Linked DNA regions of Sus scrofa. The protein of the gene in region 2 interacts with the protein of the main gene of each other region in a pairwise test. Links are inferred from orthologs where the notes say so. Each region holds a gene or a part of one and is shown on either strand. Other genes may lie near its edges.

Evidence for each region.
Region 1: the proteins of PDLIM7 (region 2) and GEM interact in binary tests that used the Homo sapiens proteins (3 or more experiments, as listed by UniProt). The two-hybrid records come from large-scale screens. The link is inferred for Sus scrofa from reciprocal best matches to the Homo sapiens genes PDLIM7 and GEM.
Region 3: the proteins of PDLIM7 (region 2) and ZMYND11 interact in a two-hybrid assay, tested with the Homo sapiens proteins (2 studies listed by BioGRID). The link is inferred for Sus scrofa from reciprocal best matches to the Homo sapiens genes PDLIM7 and ZMYND11.

Annotation. Positions count from the first base shown.
Region 1 is NC_010446.5:42,468,260-42,473,726, reverse strand, and holds the end of GEM (GTP-binding protein GEM), read right to left. Parts: intron 5,412-5,467; coding exon 5,207-5,411; intron 3,145-5,206; coding exon 2,867-3,144; 3' UTR 1,786-2,866; downstream 1-1,785. UniProt on the Homo sapiens protein: Could be a regulatory protein, possibly participating in receptor-mediated signal transduction at the plasma membrane. Has guanine nucleotide-binding activity but undetectable intrinsic GTPase activity.
Region 2 is NC_010444.4:80,451,068-80,456,949, reverse strand, and holds the start of PDLIM7 (PDZ and LIM domain protein 7), read right to left. Parts: upstream 3,938-5,882; 5' UTR 3,832-3,937; intron 2,867-3,831; 5' UTR 2,857-2,866; coding exon 2,761-2,856; exon of another isoform or gene 1-2,760. UniProt on the Homo sapiens protein: May function as a scaffold on which the coordinated assembly of proteins can occur. May play a role as an adapter that, via its PDZ domain, localizes LIM-binding proteins to actin filaments of both skeletal muscle and nonmuscle tissues.
Region 3 is NC_010452.4:69,158,132-69,163,494, reverse strand, and holds the end of ZMYND11 (zinc finger MYND domain-containing protein 11), read left to right. Parts: intron 1-1,743; coding exon 1,744-1,866; 3' UTR 1,867-4,039; downstream 4,040-5,363. UniProt on the Homo sapiens protein: Chromatin reader that specifically recognizes and binds histone H3.3 trimethylated at 'Lys-36' (H3.3K36me3) and regulates RNA polymerase II elongation. Does not bind other histone H3 subtypes (H3.1 or H3.2).

The DNA of each region.
Region 1 (5,467 bases), on a different chromosome or scaffold from region 2:
TGAGGTGTGTAAGGGATATATGTGGTATGTGTGGAGTGGGATATGTGTGTGCTGTGTTCGTATGTGCTGTGTGTGTTTTTAGTGTGGTATATGCGGGATGTGTGTGCATGGTGTGCAGTGTGCGTGGGGGGGACGTGGTGTGGTGTATGTGGTGTATGAGGAGGGAGGGGTGATGGTCCATGAGCTGAGTGTATAGGAAACGGGCTGGGATTCTAGAAGATACAAATGAATCCTATCTGGACACCAGTTCTAGCCCAGACACTGCACATCTGAACGAACTGGGACAAGTCACTTAACCCCCCACCCCCAGCCCTTTTTGCCTATAAAATGGACTGTCAGTCTCATGGGGCCACTGGGAGTATCTATTCAAGAAGAAAGAATATAAAAAGCTTTAACATATGCAGGGAACGTCACTGATGAGAGTAAAGAGATGAAAAAGAAAAGCAGTAATGGTCTCTGATTTTAAGGATTTTCCATTCCAGTTGGGGGAGACAGACACAGAAAACTTATTTATGGAAAGTGGAAGATGTGTGACAATGAAAAGTGCCATCTCCTGAGCTCTTTACAGTATGACAGACTGAAAGATGTTCATCTCACAATCTTACAAGGTGGGTATTATTAGCAATCTCACTTACAGATAAAAAAAAAAAAAATAGTCATGGTTTAGAAGCTTTACCCTTTAACGTCTCCAAAGTCACACTGATGTTAAATGGCTCAGCCAAGATTCAGCCTGGGCCTGGGCTACCTGAATCTTTATACTCTGATCACTTCCCTGTACTGTTTCCTTGAGCAATTCAAAGATGCAAAGTGCAGAGACAGGAACCTTTGCTCTCAACTTGGAAAAGGCAGGAGAAAGGGCCAATAACACTGAGCAGAGACATCCTGTAAAACTGTGACGCTCCGGACACCATGCAAGGTCCCATGACTGTCACCGTTAGCAGCGAGAGTGAAAGAGGGTGCGTGTGGGGGTCAGAGAGGTGAATGAGGAGCACCACGAAGTCTCACTCCAGCAGAAAGATGACATGTGACCATTGGATGGCAGCCACGTGATTAATGTCCAGCTGAATTATGTCAGGGACAGAATGCAGTTAAGGCCTTGCCTGGCTAGATCTCAGGCTGAAAATCACCTGTTTCCTTTCCCCCCACCCCTAATCCTTTATAATTTCCTCTAGTACTTAGGACCAAGAGCCTCTGGGGAGCAAAGCAAGGCCCATCTGCTGAGCCAGGTATTTGCAAGACCAAAATGAAAGTCAAACTCACTTTTACTGTAACATAGCATTTACAGGATCCCAAATACTTCCAAATTATATCAGCCAAAAATCACTTTGCATTATTGCGAATTGCATTCCAAAAGAGAGATGTCAGGGATACTCTTTAAAACAGACAATCACTGGCATTCCCATCATGGCGCAGTGGAAATGAATCTGACCAGGAACCATGAGGTTGCGGGTTCAATCCCTGGCCTCACTCAGTGGGTTAAGGATCCGGCATTGCCATGAGCTGTGATGAAGTTGGCAGACACAGCTCAGATCTGGCGTTGCTACAGCTGTGGTTTAGGCTGGCAGCTACAGCTCTGATTTGACCCCTAGCCTGGGAACCTCCACATGCTGCGGGTGCAGCCATAAAGAGCGAAAAAAAAAAAAAAAAACCCACCAGATAATAACTGGGCTTCCACCAGTGAAGTGAAGAAATACAATAAGTGTGTTTCTTTATAATGTGCTTTCTCTAGAAGCTATAGCAAAATATTCATAATCACCTTGTAGGGAAGGAAAAAACATTTAGAAATGCCTTTTTTTCAAATATTTTATTTCTTTTATTAGAAGACATATAGATAAAAACTTGCATATTCTGAAAAAGATAGAAAATGGTAATAAAATGAGCATTTTTCTCATTAAGAAATATGTTCATAAATATGCTTTATCAAATGTTAAAATGGTTGTTATTTTGCAAAATAATAATAAATAGAGCAAAGCTGTGGTATACAAGGGTCAACCCAAAGTATTGGAAGTATTATGTCTCATGTTTTATAAAAATTCAGACCTTCGATTATATTCAAAAACTTTGCATTGTGCGCTCCAGGTTCTCAATAATTCAGATTTTAAAAATATTTTTATGATGCCCTTATGATTTGAAAAATAATGAAACACAAAAGGTGGTTTGATGCAATAGAATTTGGCTAAAATAATTTTCCCCTAAATAAAAAATTATAAGACACAGTCGTAAAGAGAGAATTTTTGAACCCATTAGTGGTACAGGTATCAGTTCCCAATTCTACAAATTTCTGGATCCCCCACTGTGGGCATTGAACAAAAAACTGTTTGCTAAGCTTTAGTTTCCAGCAAGTCCATCATTTCTTTTCACAGCTTCATGGAGCATCATAGTCATGATTGTGATGAGCCCCGTCGGGCAATCCTAGCTCCACGAATACAAGGTACAGAGAAAGAAGTTCTCCCTCCTTTGAAAAATTCCTTTGACAGCCTTCCTATATCTATGACCCACTGATTGGCCTCAGAGTCACATATCAGAACACCGGGCAACATCTTAATAAGAAAAAGTTCTTGCCTAGGCACTCATCCTCTACAAACCAAAGGAGAGAGGAAACACATGTGAACACCAACCACGCTCTCTCGAGTCTCGGGTGTCCATGTAGCAAAGGTCAGGCTTTTCATGTAAATAAATACTGACTCTTTACAAAGATCTTTCATTTCCCATGCATTAATGTTGCCCACCAGCGAACATGTTAGTTCCCAGCTACAACAGGGGAAGCCACATCTTACACTACTTAAGAATCCAATCTAATATAGATTATGGGTCCCAATGGCCTTCAGTGACGTCCATCGGGGGACATCTGGGTGACTCTGGGTACCTAGAGCACAGAGAGGTCATGGCAGGATTTGGACTTGAGCTTGAAGGCCATGTTCTTGTTGTTTTTGGCCACGATCTTGCCCCAGAAGCGTCTGGCTTTCCTGGGGATGCTCTCCCTCCTCTTCTGATAGGCCAGTCGCCGCTCGTTTTTCTCCTTGCTGTCCCGCCGGAGTCGGACCTGCCGCACGATGCCCTCAAACAGCTCCTTGACGTTGTGCTGGACAGCCGCTGAGGTCTCAATGAACTTGCAGTCGAACACCACAGCACACGCTCTGCCTTCTGGTTGGGGGTGGGGTGGGGAGGAGAAAGTCAGAGGGGCTGCAGAATAGCATCCCCCCCCACACACACACAGCCAAGCTGGATGAATCCTCTTTTTAAATGGTCCTCAAGGTAATGCTAAGTCCATCACACATGCAATGGATACGGAGGCCCCTGGGACCCGTGTCCTCCTGGAGCTTAAACAGCAGAATCTCACAGGAAGATTGCCAGAAGCAGGAGAGATGGGCTTTAGATCTGGCCTGCCAAACCCTGTGTGAAGGTCCAATTACATCAAATATTGTCAAATTCCATCCAATACTAAAAGCCATAGCCTTAATTTATTGCGCTTACTATGTGCCAGGAACTGGGTTAAATACTTCATAAACATTTTTTTGTAGCGTTACTGAAATGTAGTTGATTTACAATGTGTTGATTTCTGCCGTAGAGCAAAGTGATTCATACCTATATATACATATGGAAACGAATATGAAAAAGAATATATACATTATGGTTTATCAGAGGATATTGAATATAGTTCCCTGTGCTATACAGAAGGATCTTGTATAAACATTTTTTAGACATTCCCAACTATCTTTAAAAACACATTATCCCTTTCCAGTAGATGATGGGGGGGGGGGGTCCTTTAAAAACTTGAGGGAGTTCATATAACCTGTAAGTGGAGGATCTGAGTCCAGACCCGCTTCACTCTCAAGTTAAGAGAACTTTCTCTTGACTCAGTTTTCTGAATTGAAAATAAGGATGTGTGTACACATATAACTGAGTCACTTTGCTGTACAGCAGAAATGATCACAGTATTGTAAATCAACTCTACTTCAATAGAAGTTTAAAAAATGAATAAAGAAACAAAAAGAATCCTACTTAAAAAAAAAACTATTTAAGCTTTCATGAGTTATTTTGAAAAATTTTGAGGATCTTCACACATGTACAGTGTAATTATGGCGAATGATACAAAAAAAAGCTTTTCTGAAACAGTCTCAATTTCAAATGCTCCATTGTGTTCAATGACCAGGTGTCCAAGTTTGGTTTTGGAAAAAATGACTCCTGCAGACAGTCATTTCCTAAGAGTAAGACATTCCCAAGCTGGCTGGGTCTGTTTAGTCTTTAACAGCATTCTTTTCTCCTGGGCGGAGCCTGGCAATGCAGTATTTTGTTTTTTCACCCTTGTACCAAATTTGAATTAGGCCAATAAAATTTTAAGAGCCCCTAGGGAGTTCCTGTCATGGCTCAGTGGTTAACGAATCTGACTAGGAACCACGACGAGGTTGCGGGTTTGATCCCTGGCTCCGCTCAGTGGGTTAAGGATACAGCGTTGCCGTGAGCTGTGGTGTAGGTTCCAGACTCTACTCAATCTCACGTTGCTGTGGCTCTGGTGTAGGCCGGCGGCTACAGCTCTGATTCGACTCCTAGCCTGGGAACCTCCATGTGCAGTGAGTGTGGCCCCAGAAAAGACGAAAAGACAAAAAAAAAAATTAAGATTTTAAGGGCCCCAAAGGCACTGGGTGCCAACTCAACAAATAGGAATCATGCCTGAACTAAATACGACAAAGTATATGTGATGCCATTGGACTGGCACCTTAACTGGAAAGTTAAGGTTAAGGTTATTCAGGAAGCAAAGGGTAGGGGCTGGAAGGGTGTTTCTAGGGTCTACAGGAATCAGAGGCAGCCAGAGTAGAATTCTTAATCTCAATAGTTTCTTGAAATCAAAGTTCCCATCCTTCTTGCATGAAGGTGCTACTTTCACTTCCTGGGACTCTTGAGAGATGTCCCTGGAGAATAGAGAGGATGAGAAAAAAGGGCTGGGAACTGCCAGTAAACCCGAGTATGACCTCTTCTCTAAAAGAATTCCAGGGAAAGCTTGGGGATGGAGAGACTGAAATCCTGCAGGTAGACCAGATGATCTATTGGGAATGTGGGTGTCTTCGAGTGTGCGTAAAACTCCACGTGGCATCTTAAGAGTCCCTGGTTCCAGCTTTGTGTAAGAGGAAGGGAAGAGCAACTGTTTAAAGGAAAATACCCAAGACCCAGAGATAGTGTCTGTGGTAACTGGCACCACTCCTCTCACCTGATACAGACACTTCCCGGCACCGTACCAGGTCACTTTTGTTGCCAACCAAGATTATAGGAATGTCCTCTGTCTGCCGGGCCCTGCGGAGCTGGATTCGCAGCTCAGACGCCTTCTCGAAGCTGGCGCGGTCCGTGATGGAGTAGACAATCAGGTAGGCATCCCCGACTTGCATGCAGTGGTCTTGGAGCCACTCGTTCTCCCCCTAATGAAATGAGAAGAACTCCCATTGAGTTCAGATGAGCTGGTAAATGAGGTGTC
Region 2 (5,882 bases):
AGGAATGGGACTGCTGTTCATTTGTCTAAGCTCACAGGGCTGCCTGGCCATCTGGCAAGGGGCCTGGCATTGAGCAGGCTCAGGATGAAGTGCTGGGAGGCAGATTCACACCTCACAGGCTCCTTAACCTCCTTAGGTTTGAGGGGTACAGGCTGCCTGTGGCCCCAGGAGGTTCCTCAGGTGGGCTGATGCTCAGACTGCATTGAGGCAGGCAAGAGGTTCTAGAGAGATGGCTCAGGGATCATAGTGCAGAGACTGATGGCACTAGGGTAAGAAGGGAGAGCTGGGCTTGATGGCTCTAGTTCATGCTTGGGAGGTTAGAAGAGTCAGACAACTGGAGGACCCTTTGCTCACCAGCTAAATAGTTAGAAGAGCAGCCTACCTACTTTATTGAGTACCTAGTACTGCCACATCCTGAATCCTCCAACAACCCTGTGGAGTAGAGTCTAGGAATATAGCTATTTCACACATGGGAAAACAGAGAGGTTAAGTAACTTGCTGCAAGTCACCCAGCTAGCAACTCAAGAGGCAGCGCCAGGACTCTGACCCTACCAGGCTACCTCTGCTGAGGGCTGGAGCCCAACTCAGGCTGGAAAGACTCCCTGACCCTCTGGCTGGGTTTAGGGTCTGGATCCCCTATCTTACCTCCAGTTCAATTCAACCCCTTACAATGGGCATGGGGAAGTGACACCCTTGAGGGGAAGTGACTTACTCAAGGTCATGGTGAGTCAGTAGAAGGGAAACCAGGTCTGGCCACTCCCTCCCCACATTGGGGCCTGGGAAGTGTGAGCTAAGCCTGAGGTGGGGGGTATGGGGTGGGCAGAAGCAGCTGGCTCCCAGGGAGGGGCTGGGGAGCTGGGGACTACTCCTCCCCTGGAGTGAGGAGGACAAGAAGCACAGGAGAGATAGGGGAGCAGTCTGAGAGGTAGAGACAAAAGCAGAAGAGAGGTGGGGGGTCGGGTGTGTCTGGAGAGAGAAGCAAGGAGGCCCAAGGGACCGGGGAGGGGAAAAGCCAGGGGGTTGGACACTGCACGGAGGTGGGGGGTGAGTCAGCCTGAGGGCTCCACGGAGCAGCCCAACCCCCAAATCCCAGACGTTACCTCATCTCCCAGGCTCGGGCCCATAGCCAGCCCTAGCCCCTCCCTCCCCACTCCACGCTGGGGTCAGGGTAGAGGGAGAGAGGGCGGGCCCAGCTCAGAAAAGACCACCCTACACACCCGCCCACCCACCAGGGCCTAGGTCCAACTCCAGGGCTGGGCTCAGCTGGTGGCCCCACCCACATGCTAGGCCTGCTGACAAGGGAGCCTGGGCTCAGGGTGCCCCCAGCAGGCCACATCTGAAAGTCCATCCCCTAGGCTACTTTGTTGCCCATCCTCACCAAGGAAGAAACTGAGGCTCAGAGGCCAAGCCAAGGCCTACAGCTACCCAGTCACACTGGCTAGCACTTTCCCAGGGAAGGGGTATACAGGGGGAGGTTTCCAGGGCTGGAGAGACTCGAGAATTGTGTACAGGGTGGGTATATGTGGTAGGGAGATCACTGCCCTTAGCTACCCTTCCGGCAGCGCAGCTCCCAGGGTAGGATCCCTGAGAACAGTGACAGCCTAGCTGTTCTGGCCACCAAGCCCAATTCCGACAGACTCTGCTTTGGGGCCCCCTTGAGCTCAGCTGCGGCTGGACAACCCTCCGGCCCCCTCTAGGCTGTGCTTGCCCTGGGCTTCCTGCCAATAGCTGCCTGCCCACCAGGAGCCTGGGTGGGTCTCTCTGGATAAGCGGATATGGGAGCAGGAAGTCCCCACCTCCTCCTGAACCCACCCTCCACCCCCCACCACAGTGAGAGATACCAGCCCAAGGGCTGGACTCTCTCTCAGGGCAGGCAGCTTGTTTTACATGTCCCACGGCCGATCCCATGGCTAGAGCCACAGCCTGGGGGCGATGAGCTGAGGGGCCCACTGATGTGGTCAGGGGTCCAGGCCCAGACCAGCCTTTTTCAGCCCTGCAGACTCCAGCCACCAGTTGGCCATCCCTGCGTGGGGCTGCATTCTTGGGCTTATAAGGCAATCCCCCTGCCACAGGGAGGAGCCGGCCCCTAGCTCCACCCCCACCAGGACAGGATCTCAGAAGCTGAAGTCAGAGTCCTAGAGACCCATCCCAACCCCTGCTTGGGGTCAAAGCCCACTCCATCCTGAATGGGACCAGTGGATGGGATGGAAGGTCCTCACACAGGCCGGGGAGAGGCACCCCTCACACACACAGACTGCTGGCCATCCCTGTGGCTGAATTCCAATCCCTGTTTTGCCACGGAGTTGCTGAAGGAGCCCTTTCACCTCTCCGAGTCCTGAGTTAGCTCATCTGGAAAAACAGGATGACAGTTGCTATTCCCTGGGTGGCAGTGAGAATGAAGTGAGATCCTGCAGTCAGAGAGCCCTGCCTGGGGCCTAGCTCCAAGCATTGCTCTCTCAAGGAGCTTAGACACTTCCTGGAGACCTCAGAATGGGCATCCCCCTGGGCCTTGGAGGTGGCCACAGGAGCTTCGTGGAACAGCATCAGGTACAGTGCAGTGCTAGGGAAGTGTGGGGGCTCCTCTCCTAGTATCTCCCTAGTTAGGTTGGTAGTCTTCGTGGCAGTGCCCACATATCTGGACCTGGGCACCTCCTGGCCTACCGGCCGTGGCTCACTCCTGTTCAGGCTCTTTCTGTCACCCACTGGAGATCTGAGCACCCCAAGACCCCTGGGGGAGCCCCTCCCTCAATCTAGGCTCACCCGGGAGATGGAGAGGGGCACATTGAAGTCCTTGCCCCCCTGCAGCCGGAAGCCCCAAGGTGCTGGCCCCTCCAGCACCACCTTGAAGGAATCCATGGTGCCGCTCCTGAGAGGAGAGAAAAGGTGAGCAGCTGGCATGGTGGGTACACAGGCAGGCCTAGCTCTGGACATCAGGCTTGGACTAGTGCCAGGAAGGCACGAGCAGACGCTGAGCACACCCAGGGCAAGGGTAGGAGGGTAACTTGTTAAGTTTGGCTGGGCTGCTAGCTGGCAGACTTCACTTTGGAAAGGCAGCGGCAACCCCCCTTCCCCAAGGGACAGGGTGGGTGAGGGGAGCCCGAATCCAGCCTTGAGATTCTTTTCATCCAGGAGTGGATCGCAGGGCTAATTTGGCTCTGGCTTCCCCCCAAGCCATCCTTGAGCCTGGAACTAGACGGCAAGGCCAGTCCGGGGCCGGCGTTCCTCCTTTCCCCCGCCCCCAGGTCCCGGCAGGCAGGCCACGGCTGGAGCCTGCTCGGACTATATAAGGCGTGTAAGCTGACACTGTGCGGAGAGCCAACGGAGGGAACACACGGGGGCTCGGGACGCGAGGGGGAGGGGAAGGGGGGGAGGCGGCTGGAGCGGGTACTAGCCATTCCCGGACTAGTCGAAGCTGCCGTGACCCAGGGCGAGACCCCTGAGCGCTGGGGGAACTGGGCGGGTGCGCGGCCCCTGCGTAGGTCGGTGGGGACTGGGACTTCAAAGCGTGGCCAGGAAGGGAATTCATCCTAGAGTTCAGTGGGGGTGATGCCTCCCCCACAGGCCTACCCTCCTGACGTGACTCGGTTTCCCCCTGGTTCCCCGCCCCGGCCCCATGCATTGGCCGAGTCCCGGGGGCAGGAAGCGGCGCAGGCGCCAATCGGCCCCGCCGCAGCCGGCTTCGCCTCAGGAAGGCGGGGGCGGGGGTAGCGGCTCCCGCACGCCGGAGGAAGCGCAGCTTTGGCCACGACCCCTAGTGCCCGCTGTGGCCCCTAACAGGCCTCTGCCCCCCCGCCTGGCCCAGCCCGAAACGCCCCGCACAGTCGCCTGTACCTGCTCGGCCCCTCCGGGGCGCTGCTCAGCAGCGGGCTCCAGAGAGCCGCGCTGGGATCCGCCGCCCGCGTTCTGGCCCCGCCCCCGCCGCAGACATCAGTTATGAGCCCGCTGGAGGGGGCGTGGCCTGTGGCCACGCCTCCGTCAAAAGTTGAGCCCATGAGCAGTCTCCCAGGCAGTAGGAAGCCCCGCCGAATCCTTCCGTACCGCCCAATCACGAAGTCCGGTCTCTCTTTGCGCTGTAAGGCAAGGCTCTCCCTGGTCCCCTTAATGGGGCGGGGCCTGGGTAGGGTGTGGGGGGGTCTGGGCTGCTGGACAGCCCAACCCGCGGCTCGCCCAGCCCCTTGCGCCTCCCTCTGGCCGAGTGAAAAGCAAGTCACCAAGCAAACCAGGCAGATCTGGACCTGAGTCATCTCTAAACCCTAGTTTCCTACTGGGAAAGTGGGACAGTAATACTCGCCTCACAGGCCACCGTGAAGATAGGCATAGTTTGGCGTAAGGCACAGCCATTGATAGCTCAAGAATATCTAAATCGGGAGTTCCCGTCGTGGCGCAGTGGTTAACAAATTTGATCCCTGGCCTTGCTCAGCGGGTTAAGTATCCGGCGTTGCCGTGAGCTGTGGTGCAGGTCGCAGACGCGGCTTGGATCCCACGTTGCTGTGACTCTGACCAGTGGCTATGGCTCCGATTAGACCCCTAGCCCGGGAATCTCCATAATGCCGCTCCTGCGGCGAGCGGCTCTAGAAAAGGCAAAAAGACACACAAAGACACACACACAAAAGGAATATCTAAATCGGACAGACTTGGTCTGGAAGAGGGAGGGGGTGAACCTTGGAGGTGGGGTTAGTTGAGGTCGACACAGGGGGAGCTTACAGTTAAGTTTGCAGAACACTCCACCAAAGGCAGCAGACAGAGGTATAAAGGCCTTTGGCTCCGCCCCGACCCTATGCCCTGCCCTCACTCCTACCCCCTGACCCTCCGAAGGTTTAGGGCTGACCCCCAAACTGTCGAGATAGTCCTGGTACCCCACTCCAGAGTGGGCAGCGCCTCCAGTGGGGGTTTCACAGACCCCACAGCCCCAATGCTAGCGCAGTGGGAGGAAATTGACCAGGGATCAGGATGGGCATCCACCCCTCACCTCCTTCTAGGGCATGGCTGTGGCTACTCTCCTACCTCCACCATCATCATTACATTTCCCCCTATTCTGCATCATTCCCCTCATAATATAAACTGTAAGAATTTTCACTTTTTTTTTTTTTTTTTTTTTGGCCTTTTCTCATTATAGGGCTGCACCCAGGGGCATATGGAAGTTCCCAGGCTATAGCCGCCGGCCTATGCCACAGCCACAGCAAGGCCACAACAGGAATTCCAGTTACTTCCTAATTTAAACTTTCATTTTCCCCACCTCCCTAACTCCTTCCTTACTTCAAGGAAAAAAAATAAAAACAGTGTTCATCTGGTTAGGCCAGTAAAAATCATGAAGTTTTCCTTCCTTTCTCATCTGTGTCATACCTCAGATTCTGTAGATTCCACCTTCTGACTCTATTCCACACCTGGCTGCCGTGTTTGTCCTTGCCACTTGTCTCGTGCTTGGACATCTCAGCAGTCTCTTAACAGATTTCCCTCTTTCTACCCTTGCCCAGTCCCCAGTCTTCTTCAAAATGGTATTTTTAAAGCAGAAATCACACCATACACCTTCGGCTTCTAGCATTTCAGTGGGATGGAGTTGCACCTAAGATAAAACTAAAGTCTTTCAGACACTAATAAACTACCTCCCCCACTTCTCCTGGCTCACTCTGCTCCAGCCATTCTGCCCTCCTCACTGTAAATACAGCAAATACATTCCTGCTTTAGGGCCTTTGCACTTGTGGCTCCTTCCGCTTGAAACACTTTCTCCCAGATATCTAAATAGGTTCTCAGAGTTCCTGTTGTGGCACAGTGGGTTAAGGACCTAACATTGTCTCTCTGAGGATGCAGATTCGATCCTTGGCCTTGCTCAATGGGTTAAGGATTTGGCATTGCCATAAGCTGTGGCATAGGTCACAGAAGCA
Region 3 (5,363 bases), on a different chromosome or scaffold from region 2:
CATTTCACCTGCAGGATTCCCTGAGCATTTCTTGCAGGCAGGTCTAGTGGTTTTGAACTACCTCAGCTTTAGTTTTTCTGGGATTTTAAAAATGTCTTCCCCCTTTGAAGGATTATTTTGCTGAATATAGGCTTCTCCATTAAGAGGTTTGTTTGTGTTCCCCTTTATTTTTTTAGCACTTTGACAAAATCAGGTCTTCTGGCCTCCAGAGTTTCTGATGGGAAATCTGCTGATGATATATTGATGACATTTTGTATATGACAGTTCCCCTCTTCCTTGCTTTCATGATTCTCAAAAGTTTGATTATAACACATCTTAGTATGGCTTTCTTTGAGTTTATCTGACTGAGAGTTCATTGAGCTTCTTGAATATTTGTATTCATATCTTTCATCACATTGCAGGAATAATGGCTGAAAACTTCCCAAATATTCTCTCTGCTCTGCTCTTTCTCTCTCTCCTCCTTCTGGACTTCCCATGGTGCTCATCTTAGTCATTGGATGGTGTCCCACAGGTCTTTCTAGGCTCTGTTTATGTTTCCTCAGTCTTTCCCCCTGACTTGGTAATTCCATTGTCCTGTCTTCAGTCTGCTCAAATCTGCCTTTGCATCCCTCCAGTTAATTTTTCACTTTAGTTAATGGACTTTTCAGCTCCAAGTTTTCTTTTTGGTTTTTTGATCTCTTCAAATATTTCCATTTTGTTTACAGATTGTTTTCTTGACTCCCTCTACACCTTCCTTTAGTTCTTTGAGTTTCTTTAATAATTATTTTAAAGTCTTTGTCTGATATATCTGCCAGTAGGTCTCTTTCATGGACAGTTTCTATTGATTTTTTTTCTTTTGACTGGTCATACTTTCCTGCTTCTTTGTATACCTTATGATTTTTTGTTGAACACAGCATTTGAATCTAATATGGTAACTGGCACTCATTTTCTCCCCCTTTTCAGAGTTTGCTGTTTTTGTTTCTTTGATTGTTATAGGCTATTTCTGTGCCAGGGATCACCTTGAGTATAAACTAAATGTCTTCATTGGTCTTTTCTGAGCCTTTCCTTGGGAGTGCACATTCACTTTCTGCTTTTCCCCACATATGCAGTTGATTTTGAATATCCGGCTTTGCCAAAGGCAGACTCTAAGGGCAGTGGCCCTTTAACTCCTCCGGAAGTTACTTCAGCTGGAGGAGAAGGGGCTTGTAACAGTGAGGGGAGGTTCAGCAATGGTAGCAGCCCATTTCTGTGATCAGAAGCAGCAAGCAGCAGGACAGAATCTTTTTACCTACCCTGGGTAAGGGTAGGAGAGGGTAGCTGTGTTACTGTGCTCAAAATTAACTATATTGTTCAAACCTTCAATACACTTCAGAGTTCCAAAGCAGTTACTTTAGATGGATTTCTCAGCGTAGCTGTTGTCCAGGCAGGTAGGTAGATTCCTGGTGCTTCTGTTCTGTCATCTTTCCGGAATTTCAAGACCTTTTGTGTGCTGATGGGGATGACCTAGTAGAAATGGAAAAGGTCGATGTGGTGCCAGGTAAGCTCGGGTTTGCAGCCACGAGACTACATGCTGAGCCTCAGTCTTCCTGTTGGCTCCTGCCATCCTGCTCGGTACAGAAAACATTATGATGTTTCTGGTGATCCTAGTTTAAGGTTGAGCCGGAAAGATCTTTAAAAGCAATTTCAGATGTCTACAGTTATAACCACCATTTCCTTTGCACTTCATCCCACGTTTACCTACTGGTCATGGTTTCTCATCTGTAGTGCTACAACTGTGAGGAGGAGGCCATGTACCACTGCTGCTGGAACACATCCTACTGCTCAATCAAGTGTCAGCAGGAGCACTGGCACGCAGAACACAAGCGCACCTGTCGCCGGAAAAGATGAAGGCTAGTTCCTCCTGGTGAATCACTGACGATTATTCTTCTCAGACACAGCGGTTTTTGTTTCCAAGAAGCCAAAATTGTTTAGAATTTGCTTCCCATTTTGCACCAGCCTTTAAACACTTTTCGTGAAGAAATTTTGCACAGTAGTTTAAATCTTTTGTTAATGCTCCTCTGGAGTTTTTCAGGGGGTAAAAGTAACATCAGTGGAGGGTATTATTTTAAATAAATTTTAATTGAGAGTTTGTTGCATTTTCAGCAAATTTTAAAACATTTTTAGGTTTTACAGAGATTTTAACCTTTAAACAACAGATCTTTAAAAAAACAACAGGTGAATACAAGTGAGTTTAACAAAGAAACATTTAAAATAGATCTGAATGTAAGAACTGCAGAACTGCTTCAGAACTGAAACATACTACCTTGATGTGACGTTTATCTCTTAACCTTGTTGAGCTGGTTTTGTTCAGCTTAATTTACTGTTTAAAGGCATTATCTATTGGTTATGCCAGTGGGTATATGATTGAATTTAGGGAACAGGGTTGACACAGCAGGTGCTAGTCCTGCATATTTTTTCTTAAATATTTCCCAATTGTGTTTTTCATTATTTCTTTTCAATATATAACTTTTATAACAAATTATTAGCTTTGATCTTGTAGTTTAAAATTGCAGGGAACTGGGGTAATCTTTTACTGAGCTGGATCTTAGAGAAAATGAATATTTAAATTTTAAAGTTTGCACATTTCATCTTTGTCCTAACATGAGTGCTTGTAACAAAATAAACAACAAAAATAAAATAAAAAAGCCAAAAACTACCTTTATCCATACATGAAATTATAGATGAGGCCTACAAATTTCTTTAAGGCATCCCTTCCCTCCCCAGATATCATCTGATGGCCTGTTATCTGGTGTCACCTCTTATATTGTAAGTTAATACTGAAAGGAAAGAAAGCACTTAAGTTTCACAGAAGCCGTTATGTTTGTAGTAATGGATCATTGCCTACTAATGAACTCCATCACTGTACACAGAATGAAGAATAATGCATGTTAATTTTCTTGTATTAAAAATGCCGTGATTTGTAAAAAGTCTGTATTTTGCGGAATGTCTGGATTAAGAAGCATTACCAATAGGAATGGATCGATAGTTGAATAATGATTTTTTTTATACATAGATATATAAAATACAGCCAGGAAAACTTAAATTACTTTTTTTAAAAAAAAACTCACAATTTATGTTTTTTCAAATACTGATCTTAGACCAAGTCAAATTCCCATTTATCATTTAGTTATTTTTTAAGGTTAGAGAAATAATTTGTAAATATTTATTTAGACCTTTGATATTTATTAAAGCAATTACACACAATGGAAGTGAAAGAATCAGGGGAAAAACCTTTTAAAAAGTTTTCTCCAGGTTTGTCAGGGTCACTCTAAAGATGAAAATGTAACTAAGTCTTCTGTGAAATCGTCCTCCAGTTCTGAGGCTGTTGCAGGTGGTGGTGACACGAGTTAATCGACAAGCTGCTGCCCAGTGGTGCCCAAAGGCTTGTAGGACCTGCCTGGTAGCCCCCTTTCAAACACCATCCCTGAACTGTGCAGGGAGCTGGCATTCTCGTCCCTCCTTGCTGCCATGCGATTAGTCGGTGTTGCCACAGTGCTGTGGTCGGATCAAGACGTTGTAACCAGGAACACTTACTTTCTCTGATTGTTTTTCAAGTTTTAAAACTTCGATCCACCCCTATGAGAACAAGTTATTGTGGAACTATTTTTGGTGTAAAATCATTCCAGAGTGTGTACTATTTACCAATAGCTGCATGAAAGTAAGATTCGTGTTACTTTGGCTTTTTGTCTCCGTTGACACGGTTGCACATTTCCAAGTTACTACAGCGTGAAAACTGTGTGTTAAAAAAAAAAAAAAAACAAATTAAAAAAAGATTGTGGCCTGGTTTTGTAAAAGTTTTAGGTAAAATTACAATTGATTGTTTTAGGAACTATTATTAAATTTTTCTGCAAATCATAAAACTATATCAAGGTGTTGAGCTTAGCCACTCTGCACATTGTAATTATTCATTGTGGCTGTCCAGTTCTATGATGCATTCTGGCATTTTGTAAGCTGCTCTGACTAGCAATATATAGATTCATTTAATGTGTTAACATTGGTTAATAAATGTATTTAAAAAAAACTGGCTTTAATACATTGATTGAGTCCATTCTCCAGACCAAAACAAACACAATTGTATCACATGGTGATCATATACTGTGGGCTCGCCACTCACTGGTGACTATTTATATAAAATCAGTGTGTGAAAAATAAACATTTATTTAAGTTGAATTTACTTTTACCAGGTCTCAAAAAATTCAGGTTTGTTTGACTACAAAGCCCTTCCTTAACCCTTATGCTAGGCCAAACATACAGATTGAATGATTTTCTATGAACATTTGAAAAATCAGGCCATATCCTCCATTTCAGTACATGTAGAATCGAATCCCTCATCTCACCCTGTGTCATTCCACCTCTCCAACCAACTCACATGATGCCAGTCTCCATTCAGGCCAGCGTCACCCTCCTGGCCAGACCATGAGGCAGCAAGCGACTTGACCCTCTTCACCTTCGCCTCCGGCTCATCAGGCTCACAAGAGAGCTTGTTAAAACATTGCTGGGTCCCACCCCCAGCGTGTTCATTGCTTACAAGTTCCCCAGTGTTGCTGATGGGGCCATCCTTCCATAACCACTGCTTTACTGATGAAAATAAAAACAACAGACACTTTCATGAAAAATACGCACGCACAAAGTTTCAGTATTTTACAGATTCCTAGGGTCCATCAATAGACTTCCCACTCTTACGAGGATCCAGGCCCCTCAGGTTGATCCCTGACCCGGCAGGATTAGAGAAGCAAAAGTAGGACAGGGTAGTAAGACTCCTGTTACTGCGATCAAGATCGGAGCCTCTCAAACCTTCACGGGCACAGAGATCGCCTGGGAATCTGCTTAAGACGCAGGCTCTGCCTCAGGAGGTGTTGGGTGGGTAGAGCTGGTGATCTTGCCATTTCTTGGAAGCCTGCAAGTGATTCTGCTGGACAGGGATTACAACTGAGAGTAAAGGATAGGTAAGTTCACAAAAGTTTAAGTACTATCACATTAAATTACAAACACTGCTGTCAAATGAAAATACACAATGTGAGGTACATAGGTAATTTAAAGCTTTCTGGTAACCATATTAAGTATTAAACCATTAAATATTATCCAATGACCGTATTAAATGGTAACCATCTATAAGTAAAAATCAAGTTAAGACTAGTTAAATAAAAACATTAAATAGTATCTAAGAACTATAAATTATATTAAACCATATTAAAAAGGAACAGATTACGTTAATAATACAGCCACCTTAACCTAGCATCCAAAATGTTTCCATATTTGATTGATGTAACAGTGAGACATTTTACATTCTTGTTCTAAGTCGTCAAAATCCAGCGTGGGCCTCATCCTTTCAGCACACCCGTTTG